Elephas maximus indicus: one gene and its partners. The protein of the gene in region 1 purifies or fractionates together with the protein of each later gene. This does not show direct contact. Links are inferred from orthologs where the notes say so. Each region holds a gene or a part of one and is shown in the gene's direction. Other genes may lie near its edges. The genes, in order: RETREG1, GABARAPL1 and MAP1LC3A.

Region 1 (6,930 bases):
CAAAAGACAGATGAGCGCAATTAGTCCAGCCCTTTATGCAAAACAGTTCTGCCTGTGAGTAGTATTTAAAAACAGGAGGGCTGCCAGTAGGGAGGTTTATCATTAAGCAAAGATAGTAAGTGTTGCAAACCACACCGAGCAACTGGAGCTTAGCTTTCACATATCTTGGTCCTCAACAGCTTTTGCTGTTTTCACAGATCCTGACACCAATAATTAGAATTCAGGGGGAGAAGGAGGAATGTGAAGAATCATGTTTTCTGGGAGCACTTCAACACTGGTGAGGGCAATGGGGAAGCCTGGTTCCCAGAGGAGCAGCCAAAGGTCTAAGAATGAGGCAAGCCCTGGGCTGTATCAAATGCTAAACGAAGTCCACATTACACAATAAAGCATCATTTATCTTTCAAAAGCTGATTCTCCAGGGCCAAGGGAGAAGCTCAACACCTCTGAAAAGACAAGTTTGTCTTTTGTGGGGAAAATCCTGCATTGTTTCCACAGTGCTATTTCACCGCCTCTCAGGCCACATTCCACTGGGTGGCAGAGGTCCTCTGAAAAGACACCAAGGGCTCCACATGGCCTTCAGGTTAAAAACCACTTCTGACACTGGTGGATCTTTCACTTCATTCCACTGCGAATATACACAACCAACCCTGCTTCTTGAATCAGCACCTCCACCTGCAACTCCATACCTTCCTCGTGTTAATCTCCCATCAGAAACCAGTGCCTGTCCCACCCCCTCTTCATTCTCCTTTCTTACAATGTAGCACCCAACCAGCTGCCGTGGAGTCAGTTCCGACTCATGGTGACCCGACATGTGTCAGAGTAGAGCTGTGCTCCACACAGTTTTCAATGGATGGCTTTTCAGAAGTGGATCGCCAAGCCTTTCTTCCAAGGTACCTCTGAGTGGACTCCAACTTCCAACCATTTGGTTAGAAGCCAAGCGCGTTACCATTTGCACCACCCAGGGGCTCCTACAATTTAGGTCAGATATCAACTATTCCAAAGAGCCTCCTGAAATCTGACTCCTCCACACCCTCCTTAATTTTGGATGCTCAACTTAAGCAAAGAGTCTCTTAGCACTTAGTCTTTATTTCTGTCACCGCATTGACCACGCTTGTAATTGGCTCCTTGTTGGACTGAACTTCCTGTGGGTGGAAGCAGTATCCACAGTTCGTGGAGGAGCACTGGGCATGTAGTAGGTACTCACTAAACCTGTGCATGGCCTTTGGGAATATACCTCTTTCAGATATAATATACATACAGAAAAGTACACACATCTGCAAAGCACAAATGGATAGATTTTTACATATGTGTATGCACGTGTAATGAACAGAACAAGGGGGTACGGTGTGGTTTAAAGTCAGGAAAGGTGTGCATCAGGGTTGTATCCTTTCACCATACCTATTCATTCTGTATGCTGAGCATATAATCCGAGAAGCTGGACTAAATGAAGAAGAATGGGGCATCAGGATTGGAGGAAGACTCATTAACAACCTGCAACACACAGATGACACAATCTTCCTTGCTGAAAGTGAAGAGGACTTGAAGCGCTTACTGATGAAGATCAAAGACCACAGCCTTCAGTATGGATTACACCTCAACATAAAGAAAACAAAAACCCTTTCAACTGGACCAATAAGCAATATTATGATGAACAGAGAAAAGACTGAGGTTGTCAAGGATTTCATTTTGCTTGGATTCACAATTAACTCCCACGGAAGCAGCAGTCAAGAAATCAAAAGGCACATTGCATTGAGCAAATGGGCTGCGAGAGATCTCTTTAAAGTATTAAAAAGCAAAGATGTCACCTTGAGGAATAAGATGTGCCTGACCCAGGCCATGGCGTTTCAATCGCCTTATGTGCATGTGAAAGCTGGACAATGAATAAGGAAGCCCGAAGAATTGACAGAATTGATGCCTTTGAATCGTGGTGTTGGCAAAGAATATTGAATATACCACGGACTGCCAAAAGAACAAACAAATCTGTCTTGGAAGAAGTACAACCAGAATGCTCCTTAGAAGCAAGGATGGCAAGACTACATCTCACATACTTTGGCATATCATCAGGAGGGATCAGTCCCTGGAGAAGGATATCCTGCTTAGCAAAGCAGAGGGTCAGCAGATAAAGAGGAAGACCCTCAATGAGATGGATTGACACAGTGGCTGCAACAATCGGCTCGAGCATAGCAACAATTCTGAGAGTGGTGCAGGACTGGTCAGTGTTTCCTTGCATTGTGCATAGGGTTGGGAACCAACTCCACAGCACCTAACAAGAACAACAACATGCATGTATAAACATAAGCAAGGACCACTCAGATCAGCAGAAGGAATGTTTCTCCAGACAATCCCTTGAGGCAGAGGGCTTTGAGCGCTCTGGGAAGGAGCCCCAGGCAGCCTGTGAAAGCTGGCTGGTTCTAGTGGTCGACTCAGATATGAAAGCCCTGCTTTATTGCATGCAGAGCTCTAGGGATGGGTGTGTACAGGTGGGGGAGAGGGATAATGTTTTATCCTAGAAGCAAGAACTGGGAGATTAAACAATAGAAACATTTATAAAACACAAATAGTGAAAAGCGAGCATATACAATCACTCCCCATCTCCCACAACTGTTCAGCCAGAAGCCCCAGGGCCAAAGAGGCTCAGCATTGTGAGGTCCCAGGAGACCCTGTCATCTGCTCACTGCCTCCTCTCCTCCACCCTGGTGCCTGCTTGTGACAGGAGACCTCAGTGACTTTGAAAGAACTGCAATCTGGGCTTGCCAAATCTGGTTTATATAACTTCGACTCTGTTCTTCGCTCTGCTACATAGAAACTGTGAAAGTGCCCTGAATTTTCCCAGTGCCAGCACTTCCAAGGAAGCTTTCAATAATTGCTACTACTTTTGCAGTGACAGAATGGCCTGTCTATAAATGCCTGTAGATGATGATGATGATGGTGAGTACTCTGACAGCAAAAATCGAGTCAGCTTCTTTATTATGGAGTGTACTCTCCTTAAAATTGGGAAAGGGTGTGTCTTTGGGGGGCACTGGGCAAGAACACTATATACTTTTATAAAGGTAAAATGACATTTAAATATCAAAGTACCTTTGTAAAGAAAACTGTGAAACCAAAACGCAGAACAAAGAATGGATGTGAGAAGAGCAACAGCACACCCTCACCCTTTTTATTGGTGGCAGGGATGTCCCTTACTGAGTGCAACCCCACTCACCTGTGCCTTTGAGCCAAGTCACTTTACCCACAAGAAACCCAGAGTCACAGAGGGAAAGGGCCTTCCTCCAGCGCCGCGGCCTTGCATTTCCTCACTTGTAAACGAGAGGATCAGGCTCTCCGTAATTGACTCCAATTTTTTTTTTCCCTGCTTTCTCAGTCCAACATTTATATCCTCATGGTACTTCCAGGATGCCAAAGACCTCAATGCCTATGGTTTGTGCAGGCTGTGCCCTGTGAGGGCACTGGGCTGGGGGAAGGTGAGGGGACTCGATGGGGCTGAAATCCGCTGTCACAGGCTCCAGGACCGGCGGGCGGTAGCCCTGGCTTGAGACAGTGGAGGTGTCCAATTTATTTTGCTTGTAGCCTTGACTTCATTTTAGATAAGTAACCTGCAGCGGCGTCACCTCTACTTCAGACCCACTCCCCCAGTCGGAAACAAAAAGGGGGTAGCGTTCATTTTCTGTGGTCCCTGGCGAAGCCAGTGCCAGGTCCGAGCGCCCCGGAGAGAGCGCAGCTGCGCACCCACCGCGCGGGGATGCCGCCCGGCCCCGCCCCCGCGTAAACTTGGCCGCACCCACTTCCCCGGGCGGCGCCCCCGCCGCGGCCCGGGCTGACGTCACAAGGCACCCAACCACCGGCGCCCCGCGCTGCGCGCCCCGCGCCCGGACCCGCCGACACCCAGGCGCGCCGCGCGTCCGCGTCCTCGCCGCGCCGCGGAAGATGGCGAGCCCGGCGCCCTCGGAGCCCGCGGAGGAGGGATGCCCGGCCCGAGCTCCCCGCGAGGAGGCGCAGGAGGAGGAGGGAGCCCACGAGCAGCTCGCGGCGGCCGGCGCCGAGCGGCAGGTGGAGGAGGCCGCGGGCCGGGCGGCCGCCGCCGAGACCTGGCTGCTCGGGGAACCGGTGCTGTGGCTGGGCTGCCGCGCCGACGAGCTGCTGAGCTGGGAGAGGCCGCTGCGCAGCCTGCTCGCCTTCGTCGGCGCCAACCTGCTGTTTTGGTGAGAGCCCGGGTGGGTGGGGGCGCTGGGGAGGGCAGGTGACCTTGGGGCGCCCCGGGGCGGGCGGGCGGAGGGCGCGCCCAGAGGCCGGGGCGGGGGCTGGCGGGGCGCACGCTGGGCACTGCAGAAGAAAGAGCGTAGCCCGGCCCCACTTTCCGGGCCACCTGCCTCGGACAGGTAGACACTTCACCTTGCCTCCAGACACACTCGCCTGTAAACAGTAGTCAACCTCGTGGGTGTATCCAGCCTGAGACTGGAGGTGGTCAGCTAACCTGCACGCACCTGTCCCTACAGGTGTGCCCGGCGTGCTGGAAAACTTCGGCTTTTCCTTTCTATAACTCGCAGGTCTTGACCTGCTCGCCCAAGCATGCCTGAGCCAACGTGCTTGAGCTTGTATTCATTCTGCACCCCGAGCAGGCGAATCTGGACCATCCTAGATACACGTTCAAGGCTGCGCCGCCTTCCTGAGCCCCCTGAGATGGGCCTTGAATGGCTTGTTTTTCCTTTCCCTGGAGTGTTGGGTTTACCGTCTTTACTCCCTGACCAGAAAACAGTCGGTAGACAGGTGGATTATGTACAGCATCCCTCCCTCCAGGTGTGCACAGTGTGGAAAACAGACATATTTTTAGGTGATGGACAGAGAGAACACACAGGAATGCTTTCTTAAAAGCCCACAATCAACAGGTCTGTCTCTCTAAAAAGTGCTTTTCGCTGTTAAGGAGGTAGGGAAGTGTCTGGCCCCTTTACTGAAGGACTTATCCTGTCAAGGCTCCCGACCTGAATGAGGGTGGGGTCCGGGGGAAGCCTCTGTCTAATGTGCCTACAGAACAAACATGACCCCCAGTGTGCAGGATAAGCCGAGTTTCAGAAACACGTATCTTGTTACAGGACCTAGATTTCTTCACCTTAAAGTTTGGGAATATACACAGTTTACTCCACCCTCAATTTTCTAGGTTAACGTGAGAAATGTGAAGATTTTTCTGCAGCTTCTGCCCTAGTCCTGTTTTTCTCCTCACATGACCTATGTCTGTCTTATCCGGGTCCCTGAGTGTGAATTAACTTTACCTTGGGCATCTTAGCTGTATCTCTTAGCTCTCTGTAACAGCTAAGGTAGAGTTTATTTCAAAAATCTCCAGCCTGATAATAAAATCTATTAAGAAAACATTCTGCATCCCACTTTCGAGAGAGATGTCTGGGGTCTTAAATGCTAGCAAGCGGCCATCTAAGATACATCAACTGGCCTCAACCCACCTGGAGCAAAGGGGAATGAAGAACACCAAAGACAAAAGGTAATTATGAGCCCAAGAGACAGAAAGGGCCACAGAAACCAGAGACTACATCAGCCTGAGACCAGAAGAGCTAGATGGTGCCTGGCTACAACCAATGACTGCCCTGACAGGGAACACAAAAGAGAACCCCTGAGGGAGCAGGAGAGCAGTGGGATGGAGACACCAAATTCTCATAAAAAGACCAGACTTAATGGTCCAACTGAGACTAGAAGGACCCCAGAGGTCATGGTCCCCAGATCTTCTATTAGCCCAGGGCAGGAACCATTCCCAAAGCAAACTCTTCAGACAGGGATTAGACTGGACAATGGGATAGAAAATGATAGTGGTGAAGAGTAAGCTTCTTGGATCAAGTAGACGCATGAGACTCTGTTGGCATCTCCTATCTGGAGGGAGATGAGAGGGCAGAGGCGATCAGAAGCTGGCTGAATAGACACGAAAAGAGAGAGTGGAGGGAAGGGGTGTGCTGTCTCATTAGGGGGGAGAGCAACTAGGAGTATATAGCAAGGTGTATATAAATTTTTGTATGAGAGACTAACTTGATTTGTAAACTTAAAGCACAATAAAAAAAAAAAAAACCCAAACTCCAGCCTGTTATGAAGTTACACAAACACTCAAATGGAGAATATATTGTAGTATTCTCGATTGGGCAACAGGCCAAATACTGTTAGGGTTGTGAAGAGGCTCAGATCTTATTATCTCATGTATCTTACCAATGGGGGACATGTTTCTAAAGCTTTTTTTGGTTATTATTTAAAATTTTATTTTTAAGAATAGCTAATACATTCTCAGGGTTCAAAAGTTTAAAGGTACAAAAAGGTAAAACCCATTGCCCTCGAGTGAATTCCAACTCATAGTGACCGTAAAGGACAGCGTAAAACTGTCCCATAGAGTTTCCAAGGAGCAGCTGGTGGATTTGAACTGCCCACCTTTTGGTTAACAGCCAAGCCCTTAGCTGCATCACCACCTGGAAAGGTGCGCAGGGTAAATACTCTAAAACTCGCTTTCTCAAGCCTGTCCCTGGCCACCTAGTTTTTGCCCAGTGACAATCAGTGTTACCAGTTTTTAGTATTCTAGGCAAATTGTGGAATACTGTGTGGGTGATAAGGAACCCTTGTGGTGCAGTGGTTAAGCGCTTGGCTGCTAACTGAAGGGTCATCGATTTGAACCCCCCAGCCACTCCACAGCATAAAGATGTGGCAGTCTGCTTCCGTAAAGCTTCCAGCCTTGGAAACCTTATTAGGCAGTTCTCCCCTGTCCTCCAAGGCCCCTGTGAGTTGGAATCAATTGGATGGCAATGGGTATATGGACATTACTCTTCTCAGTATATCTTGCCGATCACTTCCTCGTTCTTTTTCAGAAGCATAGAATTCTGAAAGTTTAACCTGCCCACTACTGATGGACTAAGGTTGTTCCCAAACTTTGGTATTACAGCGTTCTAGCTG
Region 2 (7,366 bases), on another chromosome or scaffold:
GTGTGATATTAATGATATTGTTCTATAATTTCCAAATTCGGTTGGATCACCTTTCTTGGGAATAGGCATAAATATGGATCTCTTCCAGTCAGTTGGCCAGGAAGCTGTCTTCCATATTTCTTGGCACAGAGAAGTGAGCACCTCCGGTGCTGCATCTGTTTGTTGAAACATCTCAATTGATATTCCATCAATTCCTGGAGCCTTGTTTTTCGCCAATGCCTTCAGAGCAGCTTGGACTTCTTCCTTCAGTACCATCGGTTCCGGATCATATGCCACCTCTTGAAATGGTTGAACATCGACTAATTCATTTTGGTGTAATGACTCTGTGTATTCCTTCCATCTTCTTTTGATGCTTCCTGAGTCATTTAATATTTTCCCCATGGAATCCTTCACTATTGCAACTCGAGGCTTTTCACTATTGCAACGCGGCGTTTCTCAAGCAGAAAGAACTGAGGAAAAAATTCAAGCCTTGAGTTGCAATAGTGAAGATTGTGATTATGTGGGAGCATGTTTTTATCTTAGGAAAAATATGCTGAGTATTTTGGAGTGAAATATCACAATATTTGTGATTTACTTTCAAGTGGTCCAGGAAAAGAAAAATCAAGGTGGTGAGTGAGTATATGGTTGTTTATCATACTATTATTTGAAATGTTTGTTATACATGTTTAAAAATGCCATGCTGACAATAAAGGTAGAGAACAAACTTTGGAAATTAAGACAACCTACGAACATTTAGAAAAGCTTTGTTGCAGGAAGATTAATGGAAATTTCATCTCCAGGTTCTTTTTCACATGTAAATTGCCACTGTCCTTAGGTATTTTTAAAGTTTAAAAACAGCAGCCTAATTAGATAAGATTGTTTTCAGTAGATTTGATCAGAAAACAACAATCTTAAAATTTCAATCACTACCATAATTTCCTTTCTCAACTGGTTGTAAAGTACTCTTTTGAAAGATTTAGCTGTGTTTGGATCATAGCTAAAACAAGTGACTAAACCAAAAACCAAACTCATAGTGACCCTATAGAACAGAGTAGAACTGCCCTATAGAGTTTCCAAGGAGCAATTGGTGGATTCGAACTGCTGACCTTTTGGTTGGCAGCTGTAGCACATAACTACTATGCCACCAGGGTTTCCAAACAAGAGACTAGGGACTAATTAAACTATTTTCAATTTGAAAATAAGGACTGAAAATTATAAGCATATAATGTGATAAACCACTTACGAATTTTCATATATAAAATGGATTGAAAGACGCTATGGAGAAAAATAATTAAACTTTAGAAATGGAACTATGCAATCATTTTCCTTGTTTGAATAATGAACCTTAGTTTCATTTATTTTGTGGGCTTGTTTTTAAAATCAGAGGCATTGAAACCCTCATAAAAGGAGACAGGAGATGGGGGCTGCTGTCATCTAATATTTTTCTGAACTCATTAAGGGCAAAACAGACCTTCGTTACTAGTCTATAATGTTTACAATTTCCACTGCCCTTCCCCTAATGGTCCTTTGATTCTCAGTGGCGAAAGAGGAACACCAGAAGGAGGCACCAGCCCCACCACCCAGAGTCTTCCACTGTGCTTCCTACTGGTGCTTTCTATTCATGTAAGGAATTTTATAGTACTTCATCTTCAAGGAGCCCTGGTTGCCAATGGCTAAATACTTGGCTGCTAACCAAAAGGCCTGCAATTTCCACAGCTGAAAAGACTTGGCAATCTGCTCCCTTAAAGATTGTTTTCGTGTTGTTAGGTGCCATCCAGTCGGTTCTGACTCATAGCGAACTTCTGCGTAACAGAACGAAACACTACCTGGTCCTGCATCCTCCTTACAATCATTGCTATGTTGGAGCCCATTGTTGCAGCCACTGTGTCAGTCCATCTCGTTAAGGGTCTTCCTCTTTTTCACTGACCCTCTACTTCACCGAGCATGATGTCCTTCTCCAGGGTCTGGTAATCCTGATAATACGTCCAAAATATGTGGAACAGAGTCTCGCCATCCTTGCTTCTAAGGAGCACTCTGGCTGTACTTCTTCCAAGACAGATTTTTCATTCTTCTGGCAGTCCATGGTATATTCAGAATTCTTCACCAGCACCATAATTCAAATGCATCAATTCTTTGGTCTTCCTTATTCATTGTACAGCTTCCATATACATACGAGGCAACTGAAAATACCATGGCTTGGGGTCAGGTACACCTTAGTCCTCAAAGTGACATTTTTGCTTTTTAACACTTGAAAGAGGTCTTTTGCAGCAGGTTTTCCCAATGCAAACACACTCAGCATTTCTCAAGCTGAAAGGAGTGAAGAAAAAACCCAAGCCTCATGTTGCAATATTGAAGGATTCTATGGGCAAAGCGTTGAACATCAAACCCATTGCGTCGAGTCAATTCCAATTCACAGCGACCCTATCAGGCAGAGCAGAACTGCCCGATAGGGCTTCCAAGGAATGGCTGGTGGCTTCAAACTACTGACCTTTTGGTTAGCAGCCTAATGCATAACCAGTGCACCGCCAGGGCTCTGTTGAACATCGAAGGAAGCATCAAAAGGAGATGAAAGAAATATACAGAGTCACTGCACCAAAAAGAATCGATTGATGTTCAACCTTTCCAGGAAGTATCGTATGACCAAGAACTGAGGGTACTGAAGGAAGAAGTCCAAGCTGCACTGAAGGCTTTGCCTTAAAACAAGGAAGACTCCAGGAAATGATGGAATACCAATTGAGATGTTTCAACAAGTGAATGCAACACTGAAGTGCTCACTTGTCTATGCCAACTGACTAGAAGAGATCTATATTTTGCAGTTCCAAAGAACGGTGATTCAACAGAATGCAGAACTTATAGAACAATATCATTAATATCATATGCAAGTAAAATTTTGCAAAAGATTATTCAAAGATGTTGCACCAGGGAACTGCCAGAAATTCAAGCTGGATTCAGATGAGAACGTGGAATGAGGGACATTAGATGGATCTCGGCTGAAAGCACACAACACCAGAAGGATGTTTACCTGTGTTTTATTGACTAAGCAAAGGCATTCAACTGTGTAGATCATAGCAGATTATGAATAGCATTGTGAAGAATAGGAATTCTGGAACACTAAATTGTGCTCATGCAGAACCTGTACATAGACCACGAAGCAGTTGGAACAAGAGAATAATGCGTGGTTTAAAATCAGGAAAGGTGTGTGTCTGGGTTGTATCCTTTCACAATCTGTATGCTGAGCAAATAATCTAAGATGTTGGACTATATAAAGAAGAATGCAGCATCAGGATTGGAGGAAGGCTCATTAACAATCTTTGATATACAGATGACACAACCTTGCTTGCTGAAAGCGAAGAGGACTTGAAGCACTTATTGATGAAGGTCAAAGTCTACAGCCTTCAGTATGGATTACAACTCAACATAAAGAAAACAAAAATCCTCACAACTGGATCAATAAATATTATTCAGGATAAACAGGGAAAATATTGAAGTTGTCAAGGATTTCTGTTTACTTTGATTCTTTAAAGATTACAGGCTAGGAAACCCTATGCGGCAGTTCCACTTTTCCCACAGGGTCGCTATGAGTTGGAATCCACTGGATGGCACACAAGAACACTTCCATATTCAGGTGAATTGTTTTCCAGAAGACAGGCCCAACTTCTGGGTCAGTAGGAGAAAGCCAGTGATCCCTATCTGTGAACGCGCCTGAAGCCCTTAGCAGTCATCACTGACATCACCTCTTCTCTGGACCCTGATTACCCTCCGTGCCCTTCATATTACAGGTCTCTTCAAATTCCTGAGTCATGCTCTGTTTATGTTGCTGTGCTAGGAGCAAACTGTGGCATGGATCCAAACAAAACTGACGCGAGCGTGGGGAAGGAGAGTGCCTGGTGGGAGGTGCCCAGTGGGTGCAATTAAATAGGCAAAGGGCAAAATGCAAGCACAGGACATTTCTGCACTGGCCAAAAACAGACCCTAGGTCCCCCATTCCTTTTTTTCTCCAGATCCCGGATCCCAATAAGCTGGAAAAAGCTGGATTTTAGTTCTTTGTATTTATTTTTGGACTCAACCAAGAAACAGCAGGGAGGGAAGAAGACATTTTCAGAACAATTTTATTTCGTTTTAGAACGATAGTTAATGTCACATGAACATTCAAATAACACGTAAATACGTCATGGTTGCAGTGGGATCTACTTAGGAAAGGTTTAGCTAGAAAGAAGATACAATGAAACAGACAACGTACTTGTCTACCCCCATCCTGCGCTGTTCCGAACGCTGGGGGCGGGACACGGGGCGGGGTTTGTGGCGTCACAATACCAACGCGCTGCTGTGTTGTTTTTGTGTCCCCAGCTCCTGGGAAAAGCCGTCTGGATCTCTTTACCTGGCCATCTTCTACTGCCAGGCGAGGCGACCAGAGATCCCTTCCGAACGCTCTGCCAATAGTGTTGTGGCGGGAGCTGGCACTTCTGAAGCGATCCTGAAACCTATTGAAATTTGACGGAGAGGAGCAATACGCGAGAGACGCAATCATCAGCGAGGAAGGCAGGCCCCGTCTGGGGATTTTAGAAACCCTGCGGTCCATCATGAAGTTCCAGTATAAAGAGGACCATCCCTTTGAATATCGGAAAAAGGAAGGAGAAAAGATCCGGAAGAAATATCCGGACAGGGTCCCTGTAAGTGTAATGGGAACGGGTGGAGGGTAGGGGAGAAAGTGGGGGGAGGGTTGGAGAGCTGGGGGTTGGGGAGTCGCGATGGCTGCCCTAAGGAACAGAAGGGTCTCCGAAAAAGGGAGGTCTCTAAAAATTCCTTGACCCCGGATGTCCTTCGCTAGCTGCCGGAGCTAGTGGACTTTTCAGACTGCGGAGCTTTCCAAACCCGTATCCCGAGGGCCTGTTCCCATCTTCATAGCTGACCGCATCTTTAGAGCGAAGCCAATGTCTCGAGTGACTCAGCAGTTTTCAGAAGATGTGGCCTTTTTGTGCGAGAGTCATTAGTTTGGGGCTCTAGGTTTGCTTCGTTTAAGAACGCACGGAAATTACTATGGGAGCGACTGATGCCCTGGGGTTTGCGCCTGTCGATTTCTGCTATAGGTGGTTCTCCTTTCATCAATTTCACTCTGACCTGGTTATCCTTGGGCTTGGGAGGGAAAAGATGGGAAGCCAGTGGATTCATTCTCGTATTCTGTTAAGATTGGGGTAGGGGGTGGGGGGCACCACAAGACAGGTCTGGCTCAAAAACAAGGTCACGTTCTCTGCGCAGCAACCGGCTTGCTTCATCATTCTTGGCTCCAGGGGCAGTGTGTAGTGACGGCCAGCTTTCCTGGGTGCTTAATCTGATCAAATCATACCTGGGCACGAGACAGACTGAGACCTCTTTCTGTTTTAGCCCCTGATTTATGTAGTTAAAACTAGTGCAGAAGGAAAAGATGAAATAAATAGCAAGGCATCTTTCAGCATCCGGGCGTTTTTCCAGTTTGTCCCCTCCCCCGCGCACTTGCCTGGTTTCCCTCTAATGTAGGCTGCGCAGCCAGAATGAAAGACAGAAGCCTGTGGTAGAGGGAGCAGCAGTTTTGGGGTGTTAGAGATAGAAGAGCAGTGACCGTAGGGTTGTGCTCTTTATCTTCAGATATGGGCATTTGGATGATGTAACTGGTAAAGGAATTGTAAATGTAACGGGTAAAGACATTGCAATTATCTGATGTCCTTTCTTGACCTGCAGGTGTTCCTGGGCCTCCTCTAAACAGCTACCAGAGGCAACTTGGGGCTTAGCCCAGCAGTACAAAGCCCTCGTGGTCCTTTCCTATAAAGAGGAGACATCAGAGCCATCCTATTCCCCAGCAATTACACACAAAAGGGTTTTTTAGCTGGAAAGGGGAGCCAGCCTTATTACCCAGTAAAGAATTCTTCACAGTTTATTTTCGTGGTCTCTGGACCTTGGATGATTGTTTTAAAATCGTCCCCCAATTCTCGTGGCACCAATCCCAGTTTTCAGTAATAGTATTTAAAAATGAGAGCTAATATTTACCAGTAACTTACCCTGTATCTGGTGCTATTATAAGTGTCCTCTATATAGGCATCCCATTAACCCTCACGCTATTATAATCCCCAGTCTATAGATGAAGAATCTGAAGCACAGAGACATGAAGTAACGTCATATTGGTGGTCTGTGACCAAGCTGAGATTTCAGCTTCACCTCTCATGCATAGCGCTATGGGCATGCCTAACCTCCATGCCACATTGCTGCTCAATTTCTAATGTAGCTCTGTTACCAGAACTAATTAAGTGCCTCTCACTGTTAGGTATTGGAAATAGATAAACTATTGCTGCCCTCAACAGTTCACCGGAAAAGTAACTCAGTAAGCAAAATGACTACAATTTATTCAGGACTTGCAAAGTACAAGGAACTGTGCCAGTTGTTGTTAGGTGCCGTCGAGTCGATTCCCACTCATAGTGACCCCTGTGTACAACAGTAGCTTCACATAAATGACAAACTGAAATTTACCTGTTCCTAAATCTAGTTAAAATTTCCATATGTTTCCCTCAAACCGAGTCCTCCCTATTTCAGTTATTTACATGCATCCATCCAGAATGTTTCAGCTAATTCCCTCTGTTCTTTTCCTGCCGTAGTTTGGTGTTGAATGTTTTATTTCTATGTTAATTTATTAGCCATTACTCAGATCTCATGGCTCCTACAGTTATGTTTTAACCAGTAACAAGCCTCTGAACTGCTTACTAGCTTCTCTGCCTGTGACCCTCTTTAATGGTTATGCAGGGAGAAGAGCTATGTGGTCTTAGTTCTGTAATTTTGTTTCTACTTATGGCTTCACAAGGATTTCCCTGTGCCCTTGGGCAGAATCCCTAAGCTCGCTGTGATAAAGTGTCTTCCTTTATGGAAAAGAGGGGTAGAGTCAATGATTTCTCTGCTCTCTCCAGTTGGACCATTGGTGTTATTAAAGCAATCTTGTACCCTGATTGCTTAGAAAACCTGATTTTAGCTCCAGTCAATATCCCTTAATACCAAAAGAACCAAATCCACTGCCATCAATTCGATTCTGACTGATAGCGACCCTGTAGGACAGAGTACAACTGCCCCATAGGGCTTCCAAGGCTGTAATTTTTACGGAAGCAGACTGCCACGTCTTTCTCCCATGGAGCAGCTAGGGGATTTGAACCACTAACCTTTCAGTTAGCACCGAGAGCTTAACCACTGTGCCACCAGAGTTCCTTCCATTTAAAAGAATAAGTGTGCTTGTGCCTTGGGAAGGAAGGGATTAATGGGATCTTAAAATTATGTTAATAGTTACAATGTATTGAGAACCTACAACAGAGCAGAAAACTGCTAGGAACACAATGTGTGTGTGTTTTTTTTTAATTCATAAATAGCCCTATGG
Region 3 (6,328 bases), on another chromosome or scaffold:
GTTTTAGTTTGGGTCTTCTTGTCTGTAGATTCCCTTGGATTTTCTGGCTGTCAGTAACAGTTTTGCCCCTTTCTGTCCAGTCCTTAACAATTTTATTCTTCTTGTCTTGCTTTGGGTGGGCCCTCCATGCAATATTGAACAGAAACCCTTGGTTCCTGACTTTAAGCGGAATGCTCACTATTTCACCATGTAGTATGGTGTTTTACATTAAGTATAATGTTTGCCGCAGGTTTGGGATTTTTTATCTTGGTAGAACTCACGTGGAAAACCATCTAGACCAGTTGATTTTTTGGGAGATAGATTTTTAACTTTTTTTTTCCATTTTCCCAATGTTCTTAATAGGTATAAGGCTATGAAGTTTGTCTACTTCTTTTTGAGTTAGTTTTAGCAAATTATATGTTATTAGGAAATTGTCTATTTCATCCAAGTTTTAAATTTACTGGCATAAAGTTGTTTACAATATTCCAGTCATTTTTGTGATTCCTGTTCTATCTGTAGTTATGTCTCTTTTGCACACTAATGCTCATTTTATCGGTCTTTTCAAAAGCCCAACTTTGATTTGTTGATCCATTAATTTCTGCTCTTATTATCTTCCTTCCACTTTCTTTGGGTTTACACTGTTACTCCTTTTTAAATTTGATGCTCTGCTTAAATTTAATTTTATATTAAATTACCCATATACATAATAAGGCTAGACATCTCCTTCTAAGACTGCTGCCTTAGTTGCATGTCCTTCCAAGAGATTTTGATATCTGTCCTCATTTTTTATCAAATCTAAATGTTTTCTATTTCTACACGATTTCACCTTTGAGTACAGAGTTATTTGGAAGTATGTTTAAATTTCCACTTCCCCACTCTGTGGTCAGAGGATACGGTCTGCATGAAATTGATTATCTGGTATCTGCTGAGATTTTTCTGGCGGCCTAGTGGTTAGGTAATTCTTTGTAAATGTTTCACACGTGACTTAAAATAACTTGTTGGGTTCAGGGTTCAACTGAAGTTCAATGATCAGGATTATTGTGTTAAAAATCTTCTATATCCTTTCTTTTCTGGCTGCTTGGTCTATCAGTTACTGAGAGAGAAGTATTAAAATTTCCTAGTATGGAACATTTTGATCAAAGATTCTATAGAAGAATCCTGATCAAAATGGAGAAAATATAGAACAGAATTTCAAATTCTCATTGAATCCAAACTTTCCAAAGCTGTGGAGGCTGGATGAACCCCTGAAACTATTGCTCTGAGATAATCTTTAAATTTGAAACCAAAAATATCCCCTGAAGTCTTCTTAAAACCAAACAATAGTGTAGCTTAACTAGTAAAAAATGTCTGCCTTGAGCATTATGCTCTTTCAAGATCTATCTTTATGGGATCAAACTGACAACAGCAACTCAAAAGATTAGACAGGAACTTAGGGGAAGTGAGTTTATGTTAATCAGGGAAGAACAATTCGGAAAAGCAGGGTGAGAATGGTTGCACAACTTGAAGAATGTAAACAGTATCACTGAATTGTACCTGAAGAAGCTGTTGAATTGGTGTAAGTTTTGCTGTCTACATTCTCTACAACAAAATAATAAATTAAAAAAAATTTTTTAAAGATTTTAAAGCAATAAAAAAAATTCCTAGTATGATAGAGTATTTGGCAATTTCTCCTTATACTTCTGACATTTTATATATTTTGAGCCTATTGTACCTGGAACATACAAGTTCAGAATTGTTATATCTTCCTAGAGAATAGTGCCTTTCATCATTTTCTAGTGACCTGTTTTATCCCCAACAATGCCTTTTGCCTTAAAGTCTATTTTGTCTGATTTTGCTATACATACATACTTTGGTTAGTTTTTCTATAGTACATCTTTTCCCACCTTTTTTTATTTTTGATGCCTTTAGGTTTTAAGTGTCCCCTTAGGCTGGGTACTCTAGAGAAGCAAAACCAGGAAAGCATATAAATACACGCAGGGAGAGATTTATATCAAGGAAACAGCTCACGCAATTGTAGAGGCTGGAATGTCCCAAGTCTGTGGATCAGGATAGAGGCTTCTCTTGATTCACGGAACTGCAGGGGCTAATGAACCCAAGATCAGCAGGTCAGAGAGCAGGGCTCCTGCTCTCAGGCTGTGAAGATCGACAAATCCCAAGATCTGCAGACAGGCTAACAGCCCAAGTCCCAAGAGCCGGAGGTCAGACAAACAGGAGGAAGCCACAGGATCCAGAGTGAGCAAAAAGCCATAATGTCTTATATTCGGATGCAGGCCACACCCCCGAGGAAACTCCCTTTCAACTGATGGGCTACTCACAGCAGATTCCATCATGGGAGTGATCACATATAAACACTGAGAATCGTGGCCCAGCCAAGATGACACGCAATGTTAACCATCACGCCTTTACAGCACAGAGCTGGATTTTATCTTCCTTAGCCAATCTGATAACGTTTTTTAACAGGTGAACTTAAAACACATTTCCTACCTCTGGTTTTGTGCTGTTTACCATCCTTTTTACTTTACTTCCTTTTTCTCCTTTCTACCTTCTATTGTATTTTTAGCACCCTTTTTTACTACCCTTTTCTCTTTTCAGCACTGACAGTTATGCATTCCATTTCTATTCTTCTAATGGTCACTCTTAAAAGTTTAAAATACATATTTGACTTTCCGAAGCCAGACAACTGTCAATATCTTTATCCTCCTCTCAAACAAATCGGATTTCTTAAGAACACTTTAACTCTGATTACCCTCTCCTGCCTTACATGTTATTGTGTCCCATGCACCTTCTTTTTAATCCCCACAAATTAATCATTACTATTACTGTTCTAAAAGCAGTGGCTGAGCAATCAGCTGCTAACTGAAAGGTCAGCAGTTTGAACCCACCAGCTGCTCTGGGGGAGAGAGATGTGGTGGTCTGTTCCTGTACAGACTACAGGCTTGGGAACCCTATGAGGCAGTTCTACTCTGTCCTACAGGGTAGCTATGAGGCGGGATGGACTTGAGGGCAACGGGTTTGCTTTTTATTCCTGTTTTTGCTTTTTTATTACTGTTCTATATTAAGTGCCTGTTTAGACTTACCTAGCAGTTTACTACCTTATGTGCTCACCATTTTTTCATCTAATTTCTTCCCTCTGGGTTACTTGTTATTATTAAAGTATATCCTTCAAAAATTATTTAAGCAATCATCTGTGTAAACTATGCCTTTGTCTTAACATATCTTTCCTTCTCTCAGACTCTTAAATCATGGATTAACTTACTAGTTGACCATATTTTTCCCTCAGAAGTTGAAGATGTTATTACATTTTATTCTGGCTTTTATATTTGCTGCTGAGAAGTCAACCATCAGTCTTATTTTCCTGCCACAATCTTTCTATTCTCTCCTTCTGGAACTCTGATGATTAGACCTGTGAGTCCTTCTCACTTTATTATTCATGTCACTCACTCATTCATACTTTCCATCACCTTCTTTCTCTGGGTAAATGCTTCCGATCTATCCTCCACTTCAGTGATTTTCTCTGCTATTGTGTCCAATTTGTGTTCTTATCCCATCCACTGAGACTTGAATTTCAATGCCTCTATTTTTCAATTCTAGAAATTATTTTTAAAACCTGTCTGCTCCTTTTCCGTGTCTTCCTCTTTCCATACGTTGAAATTCTTCCCCTCTCCCACCTCCCCCCTTTTTTTCCTGTAACCAAAAGCTCCATGAAGGCGACTTTGGTTCACTGCTCTTATCTCCAGCATCTAGTACAGTCCTTGGAACTCCGCGCGCCCTGGGTGCGCGTTTGTCAAATGACTTAGCGAGAGTGGGACCAGGTGGATGCTGAGTTGCTGCCGGGCCCACGCTCTCCTACCGGCATGAGCCACACGGCCCAGGTTGGGTCCGCCCCCCGCTCCCTTTCACCCCATTCCCCGCAACGGTCTCGCCGGTTTTCAGCTTTCACCTCAGTCCGGAACTTGGCAAGAGGTGCCCGCGCAGACCATGACGTCAGGGGACTGTGACGCTCCCTGGGAACCCCCGCCCCTTCGCGTCGCCGGGCCGGGAATCCAGGCTCTCTGCGCCGTGACGTCACGGACTCGGGCGGGCGGGTTTTGCGTCGGCCCAATGGGAGCGGCGCGCCGGCCTCCCCTTTAAGGAATGTTGTGACCTGACGTCACCGGGGCGAGTTACCTCCCGGAGCCGCCGCGGCTGGGCTCAGCGCGAGCCCGGAGCCCTTGAACGCGAGGCGAGGAGCCCCCGGAGCCCCCGGAGCCCCCGAACCGCAGCCACATCCCTGCGCCGCGCACCCCGGAGCCCAGACCTGCGCGTCCCGCTGGGCCCGCGCGATGCCCTCGGACCGGCCTTTCAAGCAGCGGCGGAGCTTCGGTGAGGCCTGGCGGGCGGTCTGCGAGCGCGGGATGGGGGGCGTCGGACCCATTCCGACTGCCGCTGGTGACGTCAGCCCCATGACGTCAGACTCCGGCTGGCCCCGGGGCTGGGAGGCGGGCTCCGGCCGGGCCGGGGGCATCAACGCTCGGTCCTGTGCCGGGGACTGCGGGGCCGGACGGCCCGGGGGCGGGGGCTGGGGCGGGCGGGGCGGGGCTGCGGCCGCCCCTCGGGAGCAGGACGGGACCCGGAGAGCACCTCCGCCCGGCCTCACCGCCCCACCGACCGTCGTCCGCAGCCGACCGCTGTAAGGAGGTGCAGCAGATCCGCGACCAGCACCCCAGCAAGATCCCGGTGAGGCCCGCCGTCCCCTCCCCGTCCCCGCCCTGCCCCAGGCCCCGCCTTGGGCTCACGCACCCCCCCCCCCCGCCCCTCTCCCAGGTGATCATCGAGCGCTACAAGGGTGAGAAGCAGCTGCCGGTCCTGGATAAGACCAAGTTCCTGGTCCCGGACCATGTCAACATGAGCGAGCTGGTCAAGATCATCCGGTAAGCGGGCAGCCCGCCGCTGGAGAGGGACTTGGGTCCAGCTGGCGTCAGGCAGGCGACCGATGCCCTCCGGGAAGAGGCTATGGTGGGGCCAGGGCCTGGGACCGGTGCTGGGCATCTGTTCTGGGGCGGCCAGACAGTCAAAAGGGTCCGGGCTGGGGTCAGTGTGGAGACAGAGATGAGACCCTTTTGAAGGATCTGAGGTGGTTATGAAGCGAAGGTTGGGAGCCATCCTGGGGAGAGGGTTGGGGGCTAAGGGACCGGGCAGCTCACAGTCCGCATGCCCTCCCGCCCGCCTCAGGCGCCGCCTGCAGCTGAACCCCACGCAGGCCTTCTTCCTGCTGGTGAACCAGCACAGCATGGTGAGCGTGTCCACACCCATCGCAGACATCTACGAGCAGGAGAAAGACGACGACGGCTTCCTCTACATGGTCTACGCCTCCCAGGAAACCTTCGGCTTCTGAGCCAGCAGTAGGGGGGGTTGGCCTGGGAGTGGGGGGGGGGGGTGGGGAGCCAGTCAGGCTCTGCCCAGGGAGCCCCTGTCTCCTGAACCGAATTGCCTCTGCCCCTGGTGGGCTGGGCAGGGATGTGGCCCCGTAGCCAGGGGACATCAACCATGCCACCTGTGCCCCTGGGCAGATCCTGGGCCAGTCACTTTAGGGTTGCCCCTCTGGGTGTTGGCTGGGATGGGGGAGGGTGGGGAGCCGCCCCCTGCACCCCTGCTCTGTGTGGTTTGTCTTTTTTTTAGGCCCATGCCTCTCTGCCCATCTGCCCCTCACCCACCCGAGGCACTGCCCCGTTCGTGGACCTGCTCACCCCTAAGGACTGGTCCCTGGCTTCCCTGGTCTTGACATGGTGTATGGATCTGTGGTCATTGTTCCTCTGCAGAATTAAAGATTGCTCAGGCCTGCCTGGCCCTTTGCCTCCTGCTGCTTGCTTGTGGGGTGGGGAGGGTTGCTGATGAGACTGTGGGGAACCATTCTCAGCCTGCAGGGAACAGACTTTTGTTCTGTGGACTCAGGGCTCATTCTGGAAACCCATGCCAGTGTGTAGTAGTGTTGTTGGGTGCTTTTGAGTCAATTCTGACTTGTTGTGACCCCATGTGACAGAGTAAAACTGCCCCATAGGGTTTTCTTGGCTGTAATCTTTAGGGTCGCTATGAGTTGGAATCGACTCCATGGCACTGGGTTTGGTTTTGGTTTGGAATCTTTACAGAAACATACTACCAGGTCTTTCTTCTGCAGAACTGGGTGGGTTCAAACCGCCAACCCTTGGTATTGTGGCAGTATGAGGGGCCAAGCTACCCTCTCCAGGCATACACTGTGGTCCCAGGGTAGACATCTTCATAACAAAAACATTTATTAAGTAGCCACAACCCAACAAGTCCTGCCCACCTGCATCTTCCTCCTTTCTGCCTACGAGGGAGCTCCTTGGTGTGC

The links.
Region 2: the proteins of RETREG1 (region 1) and GABARAPL1 purify together in Homo sapiens (affinity purification with western blotting; 3 studies listed by BioGRID and IntAct, with this or other methods). This does not show direct contact. The link is inferred for Elephas maximus indicus from reciprocal best matches to the Homo sapiens genes RETREG1 and GABARAPL1.
Region 3: the proteins of RETREG1 (region 1) and MAP1LC3A purify together in Homo sapiens (affinity purification with western blotting; 3 studies listed by BioGRID and IntAct, with this or other methods). This does not show direct contact. The link is inferred for Elephas maximus indicus from reciprocal best matches to the Homo sapiens genes RETREG1 and MAP1LC3A.

The regions. Positions count from the first base shown.
Region 1 is NC_064820.1:20,173,163-20,180,092, reverse strand, and holds the start of RETREG1 (reticulophagy regulator 1), read left to right. Parts: upstream 1-3,834; 5' UTR 3,835-3,924; coding exon 3,925-4,199; intron 4,200-6,930. UniProt on the Homo sapiens protein: Endoplasmic reticulum (ER)-anchored autophagy regulator which mediates ER delivery into lysosomes through sequestration into autophagosomes.
Region 2 is NC_064822.1:67,457,279-67,464,644, forward strand, and holds the start of GABARAPL1 (gamma-aminobutyric acid receptor-associated protein-like 1), read left to right. Parts: upstream 1-4,271; 5' UTR 4,272-4,559; coding exon 4,560-4,649; intron 4,650-7,366. UniProt on the Homo sapiens protein: Ubiquitin-like modifier that increases cell-surface expression of kappa-type opioid receptor through facilitating anterograde intracellular trafficking of the receptor. Involved in formation of autophagosomal vacuoles.
Region 3 is NC_064843.1:34,897,187-34,903,514, reverse strand, and holds MAP1LC3A (microtubule-associated proteins 1A/1B light chain 3A), read left to right. Parts: upstream 1-4,138; 5' UTR 4,139-4,301; coding exon 4,302-4,341; intron 4,342-4,639; coding exon 4,640-4,695; intron 4,696-4,782; coding exon 4,783-4,889; intron 4,890-5,190; coding exon 5,191-5,353; 3' UTR 5,354-5,360; intron 5,361-5,637; 3' UTR 5,638-5,804; downstream 5,805-6,328. UniProt on the Homo sapiens protein: Ubiquitin-like modifier involved in formation of autophagosomal vacuoles (autophagosomes). While LC3s are involved in elongation of the phagophore membrane, the GABARAP/GATE-16 subfamily is essential for a later stage in autophagosome maturation.